Linked DNA regions of Rhinolophus ferrumequinum. The protein of the gene in region 3 interacts with the protein of the main gene of each other region in a pairwise test. Links are inferred from orthologs where the notes say so. Each region holds a gene or a part of one and is shown on either strand. Other genes may lie near its edges.

Region 1 (7,976 bases), on a different chromosome or scaffold from region 3:
GGACAATTCTACCGACCCCACTCCACCCCCCAAAAAACCTCACATCCACCATCCCTCTCCATCCCCATGCCACAGAATTACCTCAGGCTGACATCATCTCTCAGGGGCACTAGTCTCCTCTGGTTTCTCAGTGATCCCTCCAGACACTGTCTCCAGAGCAATCTAACACTCCAACTTGAGTGTGTCACACTCTCTTGCTGAAAATTCTTCTTTGGCTCCAACATACAGGATCAAATCCAAGGTATTAACCCTCTCTCCAATCCCTACTCCCTTACACTTCACACCTTAACAATACTAAACCACTATCAGTCCCCTAAATGGTCCGTGCTTTCTCTTTGTGCTTCTGTCCAGCTCGTTCCCCCCATTTCTTTGTCAACACCAGCCCTACAGCGTGTCTCCCTGTAGACTAACCTCGAGGCAAGACTGTCTTCATCTCCACATACCCAGAATCTGGTGCAGGGCTAGGTATATAATATCCCTGTGGTGCTCAAAATACTTGTAGTGCTCAACAAGTATTTGTTGAATACAGGATCAAAAGGCTAAGAGAAAACATATTTTTATAAATGTCTTATGAAAATGAGACTCTCTAGCTTTAAAATCTCTTAAAACAACTGCAATTAAATCAAGAGTTATTAGGATACCATGGTCTTACTACCTCAAGTTCTTGGTCTTTCTTAAAAGGTGTACAGGAAAATAAAAACACAGTTAGTTCCATTTGCTACTTCAAGTCCCCAGTCTATACAGTGACTGTATTCATTCTTGTCTGGTCTTTGCTTCATGTCAGTTGAGAGCCTTCACTTTCTACTTTGCCCGGTTGTTTTCCAATTAATAATGTCAAGTTCTTAGACATGTGTTGCCAGGATCTGACAACTCTGTGCTACAAGTGAAGTCAAAAGCAAGCAAAGTCAACAGACACCCAAATGAGCAGTATTTCTATTTAGTTACCACTGCTTGCTTCATGACCCAAAATAGGGGTCCATGAAAGAGGGTACATCCCTTCAGGGAGTACATAAGTATGAGAAACAAATGTATGTTCATTTGTCTTTTTTTAATGTCCTTTTTTAAATCCACTTTTGGTTTGATTTACAACATACAAAAAATAGTCTACACCCATTGTTTATAAATATACACCTGTTAGTAGGTCATGTTCTTTTTTTTTATTGATAGGCCTGGAAAGCCAAAAAGGTAGGAGATCAATGTACCTACCAGTACAAGAACCCACGAAGTGTCCCCTCCCAAGAATACACAATAAACCTGGAATTGCGGCTACGTGCATTCACCATTACTGTGATCAGGTGAGACAATCTTAGAACATAAGACCAAATTCAGCCCCATGAGGTCCTATTTGTCTTTACCAAGGACTCCCCATGTGCTATTTAAATCCCTAGGGATGAAACCACCTCTCCATGATCAGACAACCTTGCTGACAGTCATGATGTGTTCTTGAGAATTTAAAGGATATTCTGGGGGTGGGGGGAAATGCAGGCTTCCACTTTTTTTTTTTTTACAGCAGATATTAAAAATGACTGAATCAGCCACGTGTGCCCACCAGAAGCAGGAATCAAGAAACTGAAAAATTCAGCTCCCTAGCATTCTATAATTATTTAACCTTGTTTACAGTAAATTCTTCCAAAAATATTCAACTTTAAGAATAGCTTATCCCAAATATTACTTAAGTGGTAATAACTGACCAGATGTTAACTTTTAAATATGAAGAACTTTTAGATGCAGAGTTTCTTAGTACATCAAGCGTTTATCGTATTTTACTTCAAAAATTTCTTTGGGAGTCACATAGCCTATCTGAATTAAAGAACGATCTCTTCAAATAAGGATTCAACTGAGTGTAGGCTCAGAGACAGAACTACCAATTTTTGTGCAACCCACAAATGTTAAAACCTTTCTGAAACTAACACATTTTAAGATGCCAGATTAAGCATAAACCTCAGACAAGAGGAAAACCAAACAGTTACACCTTCTGAAGAAAACAAACATACAAGCCTACTGGGGAAAAAAAAGATTCCCGTTCCCCTCAAACCTGCTAATCCATCCTCTCCATCTCAGACACCTCTCCTGGCTATTTTCCTTACTGTGTTCCCTCCACTGAGCTAAGGAAGCAATTCATTTCCTGCCATTCTCTTTACTATTCAACTCGTGGCTGTTGCACATTCATCTCACCTATGTTCAACAGTAAACTGCAGGGTATTCAAACTATAGCTCCACAAGTGAGCATAATAGTATTTCTGTAAAGTCACGTAGGTAAAACATCCACTGGTTCCCCTGGCTACTTTATCACTCTATTAACTTCTGAACAGAATTCCCGACGACTCCACACTGAGCCGTTTTGGCGGGTCAGAAAACATCCCATGTAATACTAAAATAAGATATGGTCCACCTCCTGCTATTCTGGGAACACCCTTTATCCCCAGGGGCCAATACGAGCCTGGCTTGTCACAACTACACGTTTCACAGAGGGCCAGGGTTTGGAGTGGGCGCCCCTCGTCTTTCATCCCGTCTAGGGCCGGCGATGAGGGGCGCCCGAGAGAGGGGCGCCCGGGGTCCGCGGGTGGCGCCGCGGCGCTGGGCGGCGGCCAGGGATGAGCTCAGCGTCCCCGCCGGGTGTTGCCGGCAGGTTGCATCAGACGCCGCGCGGGGCCGCCGCCCGCGCCGCGGGCCGCGCGGGGCCTTCCCGGCTAGCCGGCCGCCTCCGACCCGGCCAGGTCTCCTCGGGCCGGGCCCGCGCCCACGCGAGCAGCCGGCGCGGCCGCGGCCTCCTCCTCCCTCAGCCCGCCCGCCAGCCCGCGGCCTCCATACCTGAGCCTCCGGCCCGCCCGCCCCCAGGCGGCCTCCACTCCGAGCGGCCCCGCGTGGCGCGGCCCGACCCGACCCAGGCCTCGCAGCCCACGAGTCAGCGAGGAGGAGCAATAGTTACGAAACCCGCAGCCTCCGCCCGTTCCGCCGCCGCCGCCACCGGCTTCCCCTAGTCGCCAGGGCCGCGCGCGCTACCGCCGCCGCCACGACCAATGGGAGGGCCGGCTTGCAGGCGACTCGCCCACCCCTCGCGACGGGCAGCGCCGCCAGCCAATCGTGGGTGGCCTGGCTGCGGGAGGCGGGCACGTGGCGGAGGCGTTGGCCTCGGCCGGTGGGGCTGGCGGGCGTGGCGGGAGCAGATGGTTACTCGCAGCGCCGCCCGTGGTCCCTCGGCTGTTCGCGTGGGCCGGCGGCCCGGAGGGGTAAACCCCAGCTGTAAGAAAGGCTCTGTGGAAGTTGGAGAAGCGTAGCTTTGTGAAGGCAACACTTATCTTTGGAAAGCGCAATATCCTAAGATGATTGAATCACCGAGTTCTTTTTTGGTTTCACCAGGTCCTGGGGCGTCCCTCACAGGGACAGTTTCCCAGAACGGCCCACTAGAGTCGCTTCCCAGGATGTGGGGCCCGCCGCTGACGCCTGACCTCCGACGGGCCCGGGCCCCTCGGATGGAACCTGGAGAGAAGTCCTGGACCTCACGGCTATGAAGACAACTGTGGACTTGAAAAACGAAGGAAGCAAAATTGTCCCAACTATGATTAGTGTTGATATCACATTGGTGAACACTGCAGACTGTGGTTCGTTATTGGAGGAAACGAATTGAATTTCCATGATCGATTACCGTGTGGTGTCTGCCAGGTGAACAGATTGAGAGACGTGATCTCAAAGAATGAATGGCTCTCCAACTTTGTTTATCTAAGTCAATTCACAGGAGGATCTGAAAGCGTCTGAAAACCAGGAAGCTGCGCGCTGGCTGGAGGACAGAGCCCGCTCGCCCGATAGGTTTGATTGTTTCCTCTTTAGCAATTCTTATCGTCCAAAAAATAGTCTTTGAAAGAGGAAACATTTCTTCATCGCCCAAGCCATGGGACCAGCTTTGTGCCTAAGACTGTTTCGAGGAATCAGAAAAGACATGCTAAAACATTTGCAAAAAATAAAAATAAAAGGACTGCAACTAAATATGAACAACGATAAACATAGAAGCGTATTTGGTAGAGTAACACATCAACAAAACCAGTATGCTTCTTTCACTTTGGCCCTCTGTTCTGAGTTGAAATTTCTTTGATCAAAATGTTAGCTTATTAAAATTGGATTATATTTTGTACTCTTAAAAATCGTAATTTTACCCTGATCATTGCCTAATCACCTAAATATTGTATAGGAAAAAAATTGTATTGGTATATTCATTTATTCTCTTGTTTGCTAACCACTCTGCCAAGCTGGCACAGCATTCTTCGTCTGTCTGGGAAAGCCTTCTCCCACACTCAGCAGGTCTAGTCAATGCCAAGGAGACGAGTATTTCCTATTCAGCTGGGAATTCTGTCTTCTGCTGGTTTACAATTTGTGTGTGTGTGTGTGTGTGTGTGTGCCAACTATGTGCTAAGCTGTGGGGATTTAGCAACAAATAAGACGAACACAGCCCTTTCCCACACGGAGCTTACACTTTAGAGCCAAAGAGACAGACATGCAGTAATTATACACTTTTTCTGTTAACTATATTACGAGAAAGAAGTACAAGATGCTGTTAGAGATTATAAGAAAGGAATCAAATCTGGCGTGTAGGTCAGGGAAGGCCTAAAAGAAGATGAATAGGATTTGTCTAAGTGATACCCATGAAGTGAATGTACCAGTCAGAGGGAATGTCTTACCTAAAGGTCTTTGTGATGGGAGAAATTTAAGGCCAGAGTGGCTGAAGCACAGTGTCCCACTGGAAAGTCAGCCACCACCTCCCTGTGTGCTCACATGATCTCTTTGTGTACATGCAGGGAGGAGAGAGCGAGAGAGAGCTGGTGTCTCTTCTTATAAGGGCACCAATCCCATCATGAGAGGACCCTCATGAACTCATCTAACCCTAATTACCTCCCAAAGTCCTCATTTCTAAATATAATTCCATCATATTTGGCATTAAGGCTTCAACATATGAACATGGGGTGGGGAGGGCCACAAACATTCAGTCCATAATAGGATGTCAAAGGAGCTAAATGAGAGAGCCCCGCCCCAGTGTCCAAAGAGCCCCAATGCCAATTTGAGTGGCAAAATAAATAATGTAATATTGGGTTATAACCCAAAGTATAAAATTAATATCCATGAGTTCATGCCGATATAAATAAATGATTGAGTAAATAAATGTCAGAAAAGAGACAAATCTCCCATGCGGAAGAATTCCAAATAATTTATGTAGATACTCTCTTCTCAGATGGGGGAGAATAACTCCCCACTCTTTTAGTGTGGCCCGCACGTCCTTCCGAAGAGCAGAGCATGAAAGGGAAAAATAAAGAGAAATTCTACAGTGGAGAAACCTGACAAACACTGCTACAGCCAGGTGACCAAGGTTCACTCAATAGACATACACCATGTTGATACGTGATGAAAATGGCACTTGACCTCTTTGATCTCAAGAACTCATAAGCCCAGTCTAACCAGGAGAAAAATACCAGACAAATTCCAATAGAGCGGCATTCTACAAAACACCTGACCGGTACTACTCAAAACTGTCAATGTCATTAAAAACAAGGAAAGTCAGAGGAAGTGTCACCATCTGAAGCATCCTAAGGAGACATGTAGTGTGGTATCCTGAACGGGATCCTGGGATAGAAAAAGGACATTGGATAAAAACTAAGGAAATCCAAAAAAAGAATGGACTTTAATTTATTTGGTATTGTGGCTCATTAATTGGCTCATTAATTGTAACAAATATACTATACTAATGTAAGATGTTAATAATGGGGGATACTGGGTGCAGGGTAAATGGGAAATCTCAGTCTTTTCAATATTTTGCAACTAAAATTGTTCTAAAAATAAAATCTGTTTAGGGGAGAAAAAAAGCATTTGAGATACATTACAGGGTTAACATTAACTTAAAACAGAACACTCTGAAATATTAACAAATCAAAGGCAGCACAGACTTCAGCTAAATTGATAAGGACGTTGAGCGCAGAAAAGCTTTGAGCCGCAAGTCCTACCTTGCTCACTACTGGTGACTGTGTCTCTGCCAGGCAAACCCAAGCCATGCAGAGAAATGGAGCCAGAGAGCGGGGGAACAGGACTGCAGGGACTCCTCCAGGAGGGGAGGAGGTGGCAAAGAGGGAAGAAGAGGCGGCGGGACAGCACTGTGGGGCTGCCAGAGGATGTGGAAGCCCTGGGAGTCATCTTTGGGCTACTGAGGGACCCGTCCTCAGAAGGTCCACATGCCAGGTCAATCTCTGGGAGCTGCAAGGCCGAGATGAGAAGGAAATGAAAGCTTCCTGGACAGAGGCATGTGCTTGTCCCATGTACTCACTCCTGCATTCTTTTTCATCTGTCTCAATTATTAGTTGAGTCCCCACTCTGTGCCAAGCACTGTCCCAAGCGCTGGCAGTCCTACAGAACAAGGCACTGGGGCTGGGGAAGTGGGAGGCTGGTGCCCAGCCTATGAGAAGGAGGCCAAGAAAGCACCACCAGGCTGGGTGGTGCTTGAATTTGTTGGCTTAGAGTCAGGAATCTTCTAGGCGTTTCTCATGGATTCTTCCTTTTACATTTTTTTTTTTTTAGGTTCCTATAGTAACAATCAGTTCCTGTGCAAGCTTAAACGTGGATTCAGATTTACTTGGGCGTGGTGGGTGGAGATACCAGCATCCATTCACATAAATATTGGGGGAATTGGGCTGGAAGAGGAAGGTGGAGATTGTTTCATTTTCCCTTGCAAAGGTTTTTTGGGGGAAAGCTAGGATTTGAAGGGACAAGCGCTGTTGTAGTCCTTATGAAGAGAGTGGCATTTCCCCCATCATTGTGAACCACCCCATTTCTTCAGCCTGGTAGGAACTGAAGTGAATGCAGAACTGCTTAACGTCTCTAGGATTTGTGTTTTTGTGAACCTCAGGCATCAACCCCCTTTGGCATATGGGCAACAAGTTGGAGAAAAAAAAGCTGAAGCAGAGGCCGTGCTAAGGGGCCTGTCCTCCAGAGACTTTGATGATAGGCGATACCAATGGTACGGTACACTATAGTGGGGTCCCAGGAGCTGCCAAGAAATACCTGGTGATGGAGGTTGGAGATTTGTTCTGTCACTGTTAAATAGACCTACTGTAGCCACAGGTGGGAAGGCTTGGGCAAACTTCAGAGCCAAAACAGTAAATGTCCTTTCAAAAATTTTCTAGCCTTATCTTGCCTCAACCAGGGTAAAGCCAAAGGTGCAGCAGCCTGAAGAGCTTATGAGATCAGAGTGTGTCTTGGGCAGAGAGAAATGGGGGGGGGTGGCGGGGTATGAAGTGGAGAACAATTGAGGAAAGCTACGAATGCCCACTACTTCTGGCGTGCTATCTGGCGGACAACTCCTTCTCAGCTCCACGTAGCCAGTTCCTCTCCATGCCTCAAGCCCCAAGCCAAGTCTCAACTCTCGGCCTTTGCTGACTATTCAAGTTCTTGCTGGCCTTACTCTTTCTTCTCATGGCATACATGTAACATTAAGATATACATTATGGTGTGCTTTTTGCTATTTTTTTGTCTGTCATACTCTGTTCTTATAGAAAGGTAAGGTTCTGTTTTACATACATACTGCTGTGTCGTGTACGTATGAGGTTTTAGAAAACACAGCTGGAGGGGATGAGAGACTTTGTCCTGAGTAGGGGTGCACCACGGCGTCCATTGCAGTCTACCTCTTGCACTGCTTGAATCCACTTATTACTTATAAGAAGTTAATCCCATCTGTGAATAGCTTCTCCGGAGTTTTGGATGGTCTCCTGTGCTGGAGAAATTTGCCAGAAGATAGCTAGCGGATGAACGATGGCTGCTGCTGGCCCCAAGGCGCACTGATGTTCATCACCTGCCTCCCCTACTCCCCCTTCTAGGTCACCCTCACTGTTGGCTAGCACTCTTCTGGCCTAAGCAGCTTACCTATTGGGGTGACCCACACCTTCATCCTTGAGAAATCTCTACCCTTTGTTATCATGTCCTTTTAAGGTCTTGGCCATTGT
Region 2 (7,870 bases), on a different chromosome or scaffold from region 3:
ATGTTTTTCTTTCTATTAGCTCATAAAATAAAAAAAATTTAGGCAAATTTATTTTAAATGGAAATTTTAAATTTAAATCACTCACCTCAAATGGAAAGTCACTACCATTTGCCATAAAAGGGAAGTAACATTAAATGCCAGGAAAGCAAAAACACTATTCTTGAATTCTAGTTAGAACCTGTTTCTTGCTGAAGGCTCTGAGCTGAGCCCTGCTCTCTCTTCCTTAACAAGTGAAGTGTTAAAGACACAGAAGCTGTTAAATGAGATTTTCTTCCCCAGTAATTGGAGGAACAGGAAGAAAACAAAAAAGAAATACATGTATCATGATATGATTCAATGTTATGTAATAGAGTCTGGAGACCTAAAACTATCTGGCATCTACCACTGCTGTACATATCATATTTTGGAAAGCACTGAGCTAATCCAAATCTTTCTTCCTATTTTACAGATAAGAAAACTAAGGCTCCAAAAGAGGAGGTGACTTGCCCACGATCTCACAAGGTCTGTGGCTTCAGCCAGACCTAGAGTCTAACCGGAAATCTTTCCAAGGCATTGTTTCCCTTTCGTGGGGAGAACATACAGAGATGAAAGGTTTAAGGGCACCAATCGTAGAATTTGAGACATGTAGCAATCACTAGTGACACCTGGGTGGAATGGCAGGAGGCAGGTGTGGCTCCTGTCGTGGCTCCCATCATAGCAGTCCACAGACTCCCACCTCCTCTCCTCTGTTGGGGCACAGTCCTCTGAGCATTGGACTTAGACACACAGTGACTTTGACAAGAGCAGTTTCCCTAGGGAAGGGCGAGCAGGTAGAATTGTGATTGGAATGGATTTAAGAGAGAAGAGGAATTAAATTCCCTGAGGGCCAGAGACTGGGCTCATCAGAACTACAGCAATAGTAATGCAGCCTGCTTGGCTCAGACACCTGGGTGGAGGATGTTTTGAGCCTGGAGAGAAGGGATGTCATAAAAATAACTCTCTCTCCAGGAAAGTGCACTTTTTTGCATTTAATTTTGGGGGTCTGGCAACCATTTATTTTCTCACTTTTAAAAAATGCTTACATAGCATTTATATTCCAGGCACCTCACAAATATCGTCATTTAATCCTCATGACAAACCAATGCAATAGGTACTATTATTATCCCCATTTTGCAGATAAGGAAACTGAGACACAGAGAGCTTAAATAACTTACACAAAATTTCACCTTGGAATTGGTAAGATTTGAACCCAGGAAATGTGGTTTGACTATGACACTAGGCTGCCTCAATGCATTTAACCCTTAAGACTGCAATGCAAGAAAAGTATGATTAATCCCATTTTATAGATGCAGGAAATAGATGCAGGAACTGAGGCTGAAGGCTATTTGGCATCTACGTTGTGGACCGGACAGACTCTTCACTTCTTTGTTGTACTCCCTGGACCATGTGTCAGGAATTCTTGGTCAAGGGTTGTGCTATTCAATATGGCCACATGTGTGGCTACTGAGCATTTATTTATTTAAGATTTTATTGGGGAAGTGGAACAGGACTTTATTGGGGAACAGTGTGTGCTTCCAGGATTTTTTCCAAGTCAAGTTGTTTTCCTTTCAGTCATAGTTGTGGAGGGCACAGCTCAGCCCCAGGTCCAGTTGCCGCTGTTAGTTGCAGGGGGTGCAGTCCACCATCCCTTGCGGGAGTCGAACTGGCAACCGTGTGGTTGAGAGGACGGGCTCCAACCAACTGAGCCATCTGGGAGCTCAGCAGCAGCTCAGCTCAAGGTGCCGTGTTCAATCTTAGTTGCAGGGGGCAGAGCCCACCATGCCTTGTGGGAGTCGAGGAGTCCAATGGGCAACCTTGTGGTTGAGAGCCCACTGGCCCATGTGGGAATTGAACCGGCAGCCTTCGGCATTAGGAGCACGGAGCTCCAACCACCTGGGCCACCGGGCCGGCTCGCTACTGAGCATTTAGAATGTGGTTACTGTGACCAAGGAACTGAATTTTTCATTTTATTGAATTTTAATTTTAAGACAGGTCAGGTAACATATTTTTTCCATTAAATACAGCTTAAGTTTTTTAGTAGGACTACATTTTACTTTAACCATTACTTTAACAATTTAGCTTCCATGCTGATTTGTGTCCAAATTAAGTGTAATATATACACACCAGATTTTGAAGACATTAGTATGAAAATATTTTAGATGAACTCATTAATAATTTTTATTATCTGTGAAATGATAATATGCTAGATACATTGGTTTAAATAGAATATATTATCAAAATTAATTCCACCTGTTTCTTTTTATTCTTCTTTAGTGCATGACTAGAAAATTTGAAACTACATATGTGGCTTATGTTATATTCTATTGGAAAGTGCTGGTCTAGAGAATTGGGATGTGACACCCCCAGCTGTGACAAGGGCCTCAAACTTGGGGCCGAGGCCCAGGGTGTGGTTCCAGAGAACATACCTACAAGTGAGGGTGGAGGCTGCTGGTTTGCAAAGATTGTGAAATGTCCCTGGCCAGTGTGGACACTGGGGTCAGCGGCCCCAAGTTCAAATCCAAATCTACCTCATACAATGAGCTGGGTGGTCTTGGGTAAGTCCCTCACCTTGACTCATTTATAGAATGTAGGTGACAGTGCCCATCTCACCAGTGCCTCAGAATCTCTGTGCTTACTTTTTCCTCTTTCCCCCTCACATCTTTGCACTAGTCACCCCTATTCTTCCTTAAGATCCTACTTTAAGCATCACCTTCCTGATGAGACTTACTGAAAACAGCCATCCCTCAGTCATCTCTGATACAGAAAAATCTACCCTATTTTATTCAAGAAAATAAATGACACTTATAATCTATTTTCAATGATCGTGGTTTATTGATTTTATTTTATTGATAATGGCCTGTCTCCCCATTGATTTATACAATCCATGAGGACAGCGATGGGTCAGTCTTGTTTCCGATGAGTCGTGACAGGCATGGGTCTGACACCCGAAACAAAGTTAGGAATGTGTGAGCCAACCCAGCGCAGTGCCAGCTTCATAAAGGTGCTCAGAAGACAACCATCCCTACCTTTCTTTACCCCTAACAGCTATGGGAACTTCTGACCTGAGTCTAGATGTCCTGGTGTAGAAAATGAGTTCATTTATCCCTCCCAGGCAGGGGAGTCTCCAGGGTTAAATGAAATCCCAGAATCCCCTAGTGTGCCCTGAAGGATCTGAGACACTAGTGAGCTGGTCCCTATGGTTCTGGAACTAGGGAAACAAAGGTGACTCCAACCGCCTCCCATCCAACCTCTGCCTGAGCAGTTATTTTTTTGACATCTTTTTTTTTAACATTTGTTTTTATTAGTTTCAGGTGCACAAAACAATGTAATAGACATTTATCATTTATAGCCCTCACACAGTGACAACCCCCCACCCCCCATCCACTACCCCTCTGACATCGCACACAGCCATTACATTTCCACTGTCACTATTCCTCATGCTGTACTCCGCTTCTTGTAACTATATATGTATATAGTTGTAGTTGACATTCATTATTGTTCAGCTTCAGCTTCAGGTGTACAGTGCAGTGATCAGGCATGTACGTCATCCCTGAGGTGGTCTCCCTAATGAGAGTCCATTGAAATGCCCATCGGTAGATGACTGGATTAAGAAACTGTGGTACATTTATACAATGGCGTATTACGCAGCCATAAAGAAGAATGAAATCTTACCATTTGCAACAATATGGATGAACCTAGAGAACATTGTGTTAAGTGAAATAAGTCAGAGAAAGACAAATACCACATGATCTCACTTATATGTGGAATATAAAGAAAAGAATAAATGAACTAATCAGAAATAGTCTCAGAGACAGAGGAAAAACTGAGGGTTGACATCATATTTTTCCAGACATCAAGACCTAGAAAGGATTTCCACTGAAAAGTGTAGATCCCCGGGGCTGCACAGGGATGCTTTACCAAATAGCAAGTGCCACCAGGGCCTGCCAGGCCTGGGGTGCAAGTCCCGTGATAGGCATCTTCCCCTCGCTGAGCCTCCATTTTGTATACTCTTTTTATTGAGCACCTATGATGTGCCACACACTGTTCTAAGCATTTTACTAACTTCTTTTATCCAAACAACGACTCTATGAAGTGAATGCTGTGCTATTATAAGCCCATTTTATAGTGGAGGACACTGAAGCAGGGTTTTAGGTAGCATTCCTGAGGTAGCACAGTGGCCTGGGCAGAGGTGGGGTGCACTCTTAGGCAGGCTGTTTCTAGGGTGCCTGCTCTTAACCACTACTAATGGTTGCACTGCCTTTATCAAATGAATGCTGTGAAGTTCACCTTACCTCAGGCCTTCCCAGGGCACCACACTGGCTCTTTTGAGCCAGGAATCAGCTCCTATAAATCTGTGGTTTTTGTAAAGCTCCTGGGCTGCTTTCCCATAGCTGGGCCTCAGGCAGTTCCTTAGTAGAATGGGGAGACTAGAGCTTCCTGCCTGCCAAAGCTTCTCTAAAGGTTTAAAAAGCAATGGTGGAAAGGTAGCCAGGAGGCTGTAATGGTTTGCTTTTTTTATTTCTCTTCAGCACCATCCTGAGAAGCAAGGATGTTTTTCCCATTTCACAGATGGGGAAACCAAGGCTCAGAAAAGCAAAATGCTTTTTCCAAGATGATAGGGAGAGTCAGTGGCTGGTGTCTACACTCAAACTTCGGGCGCGGGGCGGAAGGGGAGTGGGGTGGAGACGAGACACCCTTCGAGGGCGGGAGAGGCGAGGGGTGCCCCGGCCCCGCCCGGGAACCTAACCGGAGGGACGGGGCGGAGCGCGTTGGGAGGGGCGGAGCGCAGGGGATGGTGCAATCCCCGGCCGGAGCGCCTCAGGCGGCTGCTGATTAGCTCAGGTTTACATCACCCGGGCCAGAACCGTCGCCTGGCGCCAGGCGTCCAAGAGACACTCGCCGCGGAAGCCGCGGCGGCTCCGCACGCTTCGGGCTGCGGGGGGTCGAGGCCAGAGCTCCGCCAGATCCCAAGCTCAGCAGCAGCGGAGCAGGTCCCAGTCCACCAGGGGTGCCCAGGCGACTCTGAACTTAGGGGTCCGCAGGACACCGCCGCACCAGGGCAAGGTACCCGGCTGGGAGCCAGGGGCAGGAAGGTTGGAGGGGCGGGTAGGTTGGAGGGGCGACCGGCGGAGGGTGGCCGGCGAGCTTCGGGATGGCTCCGGGCTGCCGCGTGTTACACACACCCCTTTGAACAAACCTGGCCGTCCGGGGGCGATCTGGGCCGAATGTTCCTGCCGGGTCTCAGGTGACGCAGCCCCTCAGGCCTTGGGGTCGCCCAAGTGAGGCCGACACCCGCTAGGGCGAGGGAGCACACCCCGGGGGTGTTAGCTGTGTCCCGGGGGCGGAGGGAGCCAGGACGGAGGTGTCCGTGTGTGGGTCCGAGAGAGGTGTGCGGTTGTCTGTGTTTTGGGTGAGTGTGGGTCAGGGGAGTCGTGTGGTTTGGTGGGGGAGGAGTGTGTGTGAGGGACTGCATTGGAGGACTGGAGGACTGTATGTACAGTCTCTGTCACTGTGGGGGGGTATCCGCGGGAGTCCGCGGGAGCCTGTGGGGTCTGGGTGGGGATGTGTTTCGGGACTCTGTGTTTCCGCGGACGGTGAGAGTTGCGGGGAGGGCAGAGCACCTGGTGGCAGGTGTTGGCTGTGTAGGGGGTACGGGCGGGGTAGGGCAGGGGTTTCCTGGAGGCGGAGGACCCGTGCAGGTCAAGTGGGACCACGGAGGCAGCGGGCGGATGCGGGACCCTGCTGCGCGCCGGTCCTGGGCCGCAGGTGTGTACCTACCGGTTTGCACGTTGCACTGTGCGCACGTGTGTTTCGATCCAGCAGACGGCGTGTGTTGTACCTGGAGACTTGGGGAGGGGAGGCGAGGGCCCAGCCCCGCTCCTGCCCCCTGCCCTTGGGCCCAGCCTCCCTCTCTCTGTCTCACCCCCTCCTGATTCCCCACCGCACCTCGGTTTCCGCTGAATCTTCTGCCCGAGACACCCGCTGCCGCCTCTTCCGCTCCCAAGGGAGGAGCCTGGCTGCGGGAGGCCGGCGAGGCAGCCGACTGCCTTAGGCCCAGTGAATGTGTGTGTATTGGGCGAGGGCGGGGAGGGGGCGTGTCAGACTGTGCGTGTGACCCTGTTGCTATCAGTCCTGCTATCGTGAGTGTGATGGTTGGGAGAGCTGTGTGTGTGTGCGTGCACGCTTGCCCGTGGAGGGAGAGGTAAGTGTGTATCACTTGATGTGTGTGCCTGTGTCTACCCTGGATGTATGTGTCTCTGCTGGCTGGCTTGGACAAAGTGTGTTTTTGAGGGGTGTGTGTACACCTGTCTCCCCTGTTGTGTGAGTGTGTATTTAGTACGACCTGCCCCTTTTCCCATGGGGTTGTCAGGGACCAGTAAGAGGTAGATATTAGGGGCTGCCTCCATCCTACAGTGGAGATCCTGCAGTGTGGCCTGCAAAGTCCCATGTTCATCTATAGATTCAGATACCCCTGTTCAATGGTGTGGGGCATCCCAGGCCCCACCAGGCTCTGAGGTACAGTAGGGCCAAAGCAGCCTGGAGTGCTGTACAACCACCAGAAAGCCACTCCAGGGAGTCTCTGCTTCACAGGGCACAAAGCATCTACACAGCCAGGGGTCATTTTGCTTGACTCAGAACAGCCAGTGAGGTCATCCTAGCCTCATCCCTGGGGAGATTTCTGAGTCTCCATATGGTAGCACTTGAGCATCTTCAGCTAATAATAATAATATTAATAATAATAATAATAAATAATAATGGAACAGCAGTAGTGACCATTTCCTGACTCCTATCCTGTAACAAGGCCATGCTACTTTATTTCTGTTTTAATTTCTTCACCACAAAAATCCTATGGGCATTACTAGACATATGAAAAGATGCTCAAAGTCACTAATCATCAGAGAAATGCAAATTAAAACCACAATGAGATATCACCTCACACCTGTCAGAATGGCCATCATCAATAAATCAACAGAAAATGGTGTTGGCAAGGATGTGGAGAAAGGGAACCCTCATGCACTGTTGGTGAGATTGCAACTTGGTGCAGCCACTATGGAAAATTGTATGGAGGTTCCTCAAAAAATTAAAAACAGAACTACCTTATAATCTAGCAATTCAGTTACTGGATATCTGTCTGAAGAAATCCAAAACACTACTTCAAAAAGATATATGCATCCCTATGTTCTTTGCAGCATTATTTACAATAACCAAGATATGGAGGCAACCTAAGTGTCCATCAATAGACGGACTGGATAAAGAAGATGTGGTACATATATATAATACTTGTACAATGGAGTATTACTTGGATATAAAAAATGAAATTTTACCATTTGCAATAACATGGATGGACCCAGAGGATATTATGCTAAGTGAAAGAAGTCAGATAGAGAAGACAAATATATGATTTCACTTTTATGTGGAATTTAAAAAAAAAACAACACAACAGACATACAAAATAGAAACCAACTCCTAGATACAGAGAACACACTGATGGTTGCCAGATGGGAGTGGGTTTTGGGGGCTGAGTTCCATGTATGGATGAAATACAATCTATGTAACCAGACCCCTAATGATGGATGTTCAGTTATTTCTATTACATGGGCTGCAAGAATAACCTTGTACTGGTATTATTACATCAGTATGTAGAGAGCTTCCCGGTCCTTTTTCAGAACTGTATAGTGTTCTACTGCATGGCTGTACCATAATGTTTTAACCAGCCTCCAACTGCTGGACATTGAGGGTGTTTCTTGCCTTTTGCTATTTAGACACAAGGTTCTGATCTAATTTTTTGGTGAGCATTATTTTTTTTTTAAGATTTTATTGGGGAAGGGGATCAGGACTGTATTGGGGAACA
Region 3 (6,811 bases):
TTCTAACAAAAACCAACAGTTTTTGTCTTAATGGGTTTGGGAAGTGGCCTCTACAGAACAGTAAAAGCTTTTAAGTGAAATCCAATCACTTGTACGCTAAGCTCAAGGACTGCGGGACCTTATCTGGGTATTTAATGACAGATGTTGGCACAAAGCTAACAGGTGGAGCCCAGGCTGTTCCTGCCACACCAGTTCCCCTCAAGTGAAACTTCCCTACCTTGCAGTCACCAAAGAGCTATTGTAAGATCTAGCAATTCTGTTCTGGAAAAAACACCCAGGTACCTGCTCAGCTGTGGGGGATCTGGCCCAACCCCTCTGGCTCAAGGTCCAATGTAAGACCAGTGACCCTAACCTATGGCACAACAGGGTATGAAACATTTCATCCTGGGCTCAAATATTCAGCACATTGAAATCCCGCCCTCCACCGTGGGTCAAGAATCTAGTTCCAGGAGGATTGACCAGATTATTTACAAGGCAAGACACCAGACAGCAGTTTGCCAAGTACTTTCACTACAAAATAATTTATTACAACACACAGCTTCAGGCAAGCTTCCTATGTACAAGCACAGACTACCCTAACTAGGGGACCCTTTTCTTTCCCCTTGCCTTGCGGACCTCCTCTATCAAATCTTTCAGATACTGGATCTCCTTGGCCAAGGAATCTGCCCTCTCCTTCAGAGCCTCATTCTTCTTTTCTAGCTCTTTACACTCGCCAGTGAGGGCCTCCTGCTCTGCTCTCTTCTTCTGGCGGTACCTAGTGGCTGCTGTCTTGTTCTGCTCCATTTTTTTCAGTTTCTTATCCAGCTTCTCACTCTTTACTTTTGCTGCCACTGTCTTCTCTCCAGGTGGGTCATAGGGTTTGGGGCGGGCAGAGCCACCACAGCTGGCACCTGGAGACAGCAGGCTCTTATTTGGAGAGGCCCTGGAGGTAGTGGGGCTATGCTGGGGAGAGCCCAGATAGGACTCAGGGCTCATACAAACGCCACTATCATTGTCTGAGGTGGCATCCTCCTCCTTTATGCACTGAGGGATCACGGAAATGTAAACAGTGGAGTCTGACTTTCTATCTCCTTCAGAGATATCGACTTCACTGCCTAGCTCTAAACTAAAGGAATGATCTGGAGTGGAGGACAGGGCCCCTGGTGAAAGAGGAAGAGGTTGCAGGAAGGTGAATGGGGCAACCTGGTCAGTTTCTGGTAAGCTTTCTGAAAGATGGCCAATTGGGTTTGTTATTTGGGGGGGCTCCTTATTAGTCTCCTGGACTAGGGGGTCAAAAAGATCACACGTGTCATCCAACGTGGCCAAAAGCTCATCGTGCATGGTTTCCAGGTCATCAAAACTCAATAGGGCATCAAAGTCAAACTCCTTCAGATCCATTTTCTCCACCATCCAATCTGTCCCGGAGAAGGCATCCTCTGCGAGAGATGTAAGAGGGATGAAACATTCAGCCAAATGCACAAGGCAGCAAGCCCCGCTGCCCAGACCCCCCCAGGCAAAGGACACCCACTCACCCTTGCCGTTGTCTGAGGCACTGACCAAGCCATCTACAGCCAGCCATTCGGAGGAGCCCGCCTTAGCCTTGTCACTGGAGAATCCACGAGGTTTGAAGTGCTTGGCCACCTCCAGGTAGTCGTCTAATAGACCTAGACTTTCTTCAGCCCCCAAACCCGACTGGTCGAAGGGGGACACGAAGCCCCCCACGAACACCTCGCTGCTCAGGAAACTCATCTCGGTCATGCTGCGGGGTTTTGCTGGAATCGAGGAATGTGTGTAATTCGAGGATGTCTTTGTCCGTTACAGCAACGCTGCTGCTGGGTGCCGTGAAAAACCTGAATAGGAAACCAAGTCCTATTAGCGAACAGCCGGTCTGAGAATTTCATCTTTTCACTCCTGAGGCAGGATGGCCAAACCGGAATTCTCCTTGGTTGTCCGGGATCGGCAACACGTGGCCCCAGAGCCATTAATGTCGACCTTGCCCGTTCCCCGGTCAGGCGACACAAGATGGACGCCCTTGCAGCTCGGCCGTTCCTCAGCCACAAGAGGAAGGCGCCGCATCCTTACGTCCAAATACGGCTGCAGCCGCCCTGCCCCGCCCGCCGTGACTCACACGGCCCGGCCGCCGCCCTGCCCCGCCGCCATCTTGGCCCCTGCCACGTTTCGCTGGGCACCAGGCGGAACCCTGGCGGCTTCCGAGGCCGCCGCGCGCCTCTTCCCCCCCGCGCCGGGCCGCGCTTTCCTGACTCAGGCGTGCTGGCGTCTCGGAGACACCCAAACAAAAGCCACGCGTCGCGGGCGCTCATAAAACCGCTTCCCCCTCCGCGACGCGGCCCGGCCGCGCCCAAGCAGGCCGGCCCCTCGCTCCACCATGGGCGCACGGCCAGCGCGCTCGGCCCGGTACTTACGCCATGGCTTAAGCCGCTGGGGGATGCCGCTGCAGAGCCTGGTGCTGCTGCCGCCGCTGCAAAGGCCAATGCTGCCGCAGGCACGGCTGCCTCTAATGCGCCATGGTGGCCGCGGGTCCGCGGGAGCAGAGGAGGGAAGCAGCACAGACCGGGAGCTAAGTGGACATCTGTAGGCGGGAGGAGAAATGGCCGCCGCGCCCCGGCCGCGGGTCCTTTATAGATTTTTGCCTCTACGAGGACGCCTCACACAGCAAATTCTTCCGCCGTGGTCACGTCACCGGCACCACCCACCCACTTCTTTTCATCTATCCGACGCCCTACCGTTTCCAACCAACAACTTTTGCGCCCAGGGTGCAGCTCTGAAGAGAAAGTGGGTTATTTTCAAGGTCTCAAAAAAGGAAAGACGCACTACTTTACACAGCTTCTAAGATCAAAGAGTCACTGTTCCCTCTGCGGCGGGGGAGCGCGGAGGGATCCACCAGACACGCCTGCCTTCCGGTGTTGGCTGAGGGGCGGGGAGAGAAGCCTTTCATCCCAAGGAAGGTTTTTATTGTGAAGTCGGAGCCCGCCTGGTTATCGCGCGAGATGCCGGCGCAGAGGGCGCTCGAGCTGATTGGTCAGGTATGGTGAGTCATATGTTTCTCGTGTTTTTATTGGCTCAGGCGCTGAGGAGGGTGGGCTGTTCGGTGAGATTGCCCAGGGTCCGCGCGGGAAGAGGTGGGTTCGGCTTGATGCGTATCCCTCCCGTGGTCTCCTGTCTGTCTGCCCCCTCTTCTCCGTGATGCTCCTCTGTCTGCAGTGGCTTCGGCAGCCTGGCTGGTAGCTGGCCATGACGGGTTCTAACCCAGTGCCATGGGGGTGTCAGGCCCCAGCTTCTTGCCGCCCTCAGTGAAGCCCCGAACTACTGACCAGGTTGAGTCCGGAGGATGAAACCAGGCAAAAGGAAATGTCATTTTGTGTGCGATTTCATCATATGCAAGCCCTTCAGTGGCTGAAGGGGAAGTCTGAGGACCTCAAGGGAAAGATCATCTGATCCATGCCCGCCTATCAGAAAAGGCTCGCTCTGCATCGTTACTCTGAACTCTGTAGGGCCGGGAAGATGCTTAATCCTGTAGGCCAACCTGTTACATTTTTACATATCCATTCTCCTAAATGTTTGCTAGTTTATTAAAAGTATGCAGTCATATCACAGGGGAACGTCTTTTGGTTTATGAAGTTCAGTTTCTCTAAGAACAGGTAGAGATTTTATTCAACTGGGATCTCTCACTCGAGGGTCGTTTCAACAAACTTCCAATTCTGTAACTCCCAGGCATGGCCACTTCCCAGCAAGTCCTCCGAATGACCCTGTGATGAAGAGAACCCACGCCCACTCGGGGTTCCTGTGTTTGGAAGCGGCAGTCCGTGTAAGGGGGCCAGCAACTTGCTCTCTGCTGGGGAGATGTTAGAGTGCTCTCTCTGCCCTCTTCCAGTCCCCTCCAGTCAGGCACCGTAGGGAGAGAAACCTTGAGTTTCTGCCTCCATTCATTTCAGTGGCCATACAAATACATTTCTGTGAGGGCTGTGATGTCAAAACATTTGGTGAGCATTGTCCTAGACAACTACACACCATTCATTGACTTCTTTCATCTAGCTTAGCAATTTCTTTACAATGGCAAACTGAGGACAAATGGGGAGGAGGTGTCTTGCCAGAGCTCCCAGTGAAGGCAGCATGGGGTAGGAGTCAGAAGATAGATTTTAGGGGCAAACCCAAGAGTCCTGGCTCTTCCATTTATTAGCTGAGACATTTTGGTTAAGTGACTTATCCTCACTGAGCCTGTTTCCTCATCTGGAAGATGAGGCTGATGGGTAGTATCCTTATCCTTAGAATGAAGTCAAATCATGTATGTGTAAAGCACTGAGCAAAGTGCCTGGTACTTGATTTAAGTGCTCAGTATACAATTACTATTAGAACTCGGGACTTCTGACCCCGCCCTCCCGATACTCCCTCCCCATCGCCATTACATCGTCCTGCATCCTCAGAGGACACCTATTATTTACTGAGAAGAAACCATAACTAAACAACTGGTACATGCAAAGCATACTGGATGCTGGGACAAGTGTGATTTTTCTTTCCCGTTGGAGAATCGCCAAGTGTCAGGATACACAGAACTTGTCCAGTCTTTCAGCGCAAAGGCAGTAAGAAGTCCTAAGCCACTGCATAAGTCCTCCAAAGGCATAACTAAGGACCCACGGGGCATGGCCTCCTTCTACTGTACGTCACTGCCTCCTGAGGGATGACCAGGCAAGTAGTTGAGAATTAAAGAAGTAACACTGCCCCAGTTTTGATGCTCCAGAGGTCATGGAAGAATGACTCTTATGGCAGCTCGTCCCATCCATTCTATTATGGACACCTAGATCAAGCACTTCAAAAGTTCTAGCTGAAATGAAGAACCTGTACCACTCCTGTAGGAAAACGTTTCATACCACACACAAAAGTCAAAGCTGTTGGAAAGGAGGCTTTTATTTTCTTCTTCCCATGCTGTGGAAGGACATCAGGTTCCCCAGCTTCATTTCCTCCCTCAATAGAAAAAGGACAGCAGTTCTCTGGGTCTCAGGGCTAAGCTGCTTCTATGGAGCTAACCAAGATAGGACAGAAAGCCTGCTGACTGATTCCAAACCTACCAGCCAAACATATCAACTGCTACTGAATGGCAAGCAAGTGACTAGAGGGCAAGTTGTGGACTTGGCCTCAGGGACTAGGAATTTAAAGACTAAAAGGTAAGTGACTAGAGGGCAAGTTGTGGACTTGGCCTCAGGGACTAGGAATTTAAAGCCCAAAAGGTAATCAAAATGAAAAGGTCAACACCACACTGTACGCAGTTAACCCCAGAACCCACGTCTCTGGTATTTTGGCCACTTAGAATCAGCAGTGTCTAACAGGGATACAGCCTCACAGCTCTTGTCCTAAGTGTCTCTTACCATTCTTTTTGGCCTTGAGCTTTAGCAGGAAGGCGAGAGTGCTAACAAATCCTGTGAGAGCAGACATTCTCAGCCAGGGTCATCATCTCAAGGAAGATGTACCAGGGCAGAGGACTCTGGACACATGCAGGAACCCCTACTTACAGAAACGCCTCGGGACCTCTCTGGGGGCCTTTTGATCCTGAAAGTGATTCCTCATCAAAACCATTTCCGCTCTCAGCCTGAGTGGGGTACAAGGGAGCAAACTCAGCTAATCGGGAGGGTGAACCAGTGGACTACTAGGGGCCGAGACCCAGGGGAAAGACTATGGCCTCAACACAGCTTTTCCAAACATGAGCTTCAATTATTTTATTTGGGGGAAGAAAAAAGAAAAGTCACAACCAAGTATACAAAAATACTGTTGTCCTGAACTCAATTTTTAGGAAGAGGCAACAGGGAGAACCAAAATACACTTTGGAACTGATTAGTTTTTCAAGATGATGAGTGTATTTTTTAAGCATTAGCTAAGTGGTTTGCTAACCTAGATGGTGCAAAAAAAAATGTCCAGATGGAAAAGTAGGACCAGATGCTATTACTTCCAGAAAGGTGCGAGTTACTGAGTAGAAAGGCAGAATGGCGGGGAAAGGCACGACATCTTTCCCCAAAGACGGGGGCAGGGCGGGGGGTGGAGGTGGGCAGAATGTTGCCCTCTTCCATCCAAGAATCTCAAAGCACTTGACTGTTTTCCGTATTTTCCAATCAGGCCTGCCCCGTCGGTCAGCAAAACCACCAGGACCAGGGCCAGGAATTCCCACTGCTTCTAGTTCTGCAGACTTCTAAAAGGTTCTTGCTTGTGACATGGCAAAGTTATGGTTTTTGGTTTTGTGAGACATAGTTAAGAGACAGAGATGCCCTTAGAAAGATGTTCTTTAAGAGGAGATAAACTCAAATCACGATTACACTTAGCTTTGAGAATTTGGGACTTGCTCTTTAAAAAGTCTTTTCCTTTTTGAGGTCTCCAATGTTTTATATGGAATTTGGTTGGAGACACCAGCTTGGGAAAATTGTAGGTTTTATAATACACTAGGAAAACCAACCCTTCCTGTCAGTGAAGAATAACCCATGCTTTTCCAACACCTTCTCAGCCTGCCCGTCCCTCCCCTCTACTGATGTCATGCCAGGCTCCACCCCGTCCGTACCCTCTACACCACTCACCCAGGGCAGCACTCAGTCATATAGATTTTTTTAAAATTCTAGTTTGATTCTGATGAACAGCCAGGGTGGAGAATCTTTCTCAGGGTTCTGGGCTTTGTATTTTTCATTCTCTCAATACCTTCCTACAAGTGAAACAACTGAAGCACTTTAAGAAATCCTTGCATACACAGAAGAGGCAGGAAGACTCTCCTAATATAGCCAAGGTTGACCCTAGTTCTCAGCTTCCTAAGCCATGACAAAAGGGGACAGGCATCTCT

What was found. The genes of interacting proteins can lie anywhere in the genome.
Region 1: the proteins of ATF4 (region 3) and CEBPG interact in binary tests that used the Homo sapiens proteins (3 or more experiments, as listed by UniProt). The link is inferred for Rhinolophus ferrumequinum from reciprocal best matches to the Homo sapiens genes ATF4 and CEBPG.
Region 2: the proteins of ATF4 (region 3) and TRIB3 interact in binary tests that used the Homo sapiens proteins (3 or more experiments, as listed by UniProt). The link is inferred for Rhinolophus ferrumequinum from reciprocal best matches to the Homo sapiens genes ATF4 and TRIB3.

Annotation. Positions count from the first base shown.
Region 1 is NC_046298.1:34,555,134-34,563,109, reverse strand, and holds the start of CEBPG (CCAAT/enhancer-binding protein gamma), read right to left. Parts: upstream 3,010-7,976; 5' UTR 2,812-3,009; intron 1-2,811. UniProt on the Homo sapiens protein: Transcription factor that binds to the promoter and the enhancer regions of target genes. Binds to the enhancer element PRE-I (positive regulatory element-I) of the IL-4 gene. Binds to the promoter and the enhancer of the immunoglobulin heavy chain.
Region 2 is NC_046306.1:23,329,880-23,337,749, forward strand, and holds the start of TRIB3 (tribbles homolog 3), read left to right. Parts: upstream 1-4,861; 5' UTR 4,862-5,082; intron 5,083-7,870. UniProt on the Homo sapiens protein: Inactive protein kinase which acts as a regulator of the integrated stress response (ISR), a process for adaptation to various stress. Inhibits the transcriptional activity of DDIT3/CHOP and is involved in DDIT3/CHOP-dependent cell death during ER stress.
Region 3 is NC_046293.1:7,979,482-7,986,292, forward strand, and holds ATF4 (cyclic AMP-dependent transcription factor ATF-4), read right to left. Parts: upstream 2,596-6,811; 5' UTR 2,403-2,595; intron 1,830-2,402; 5' UTR 1,738-1,829; coding exon 1,512-1,737; intron 1,416-1,511; coding exon 580-1,415; 3' UTR 503-579; downstream 1-502. UniProt on the Homo sapiens protein: Transcription factor that binds the cAMP response element (CRE) (consensus: 5'-GTGACGT[AC][AG]-3') and displays two biological functions, as regulator of metabolic and redox processes under normal cellular conditions, and as master transcription factor during integrated stress response (ISR).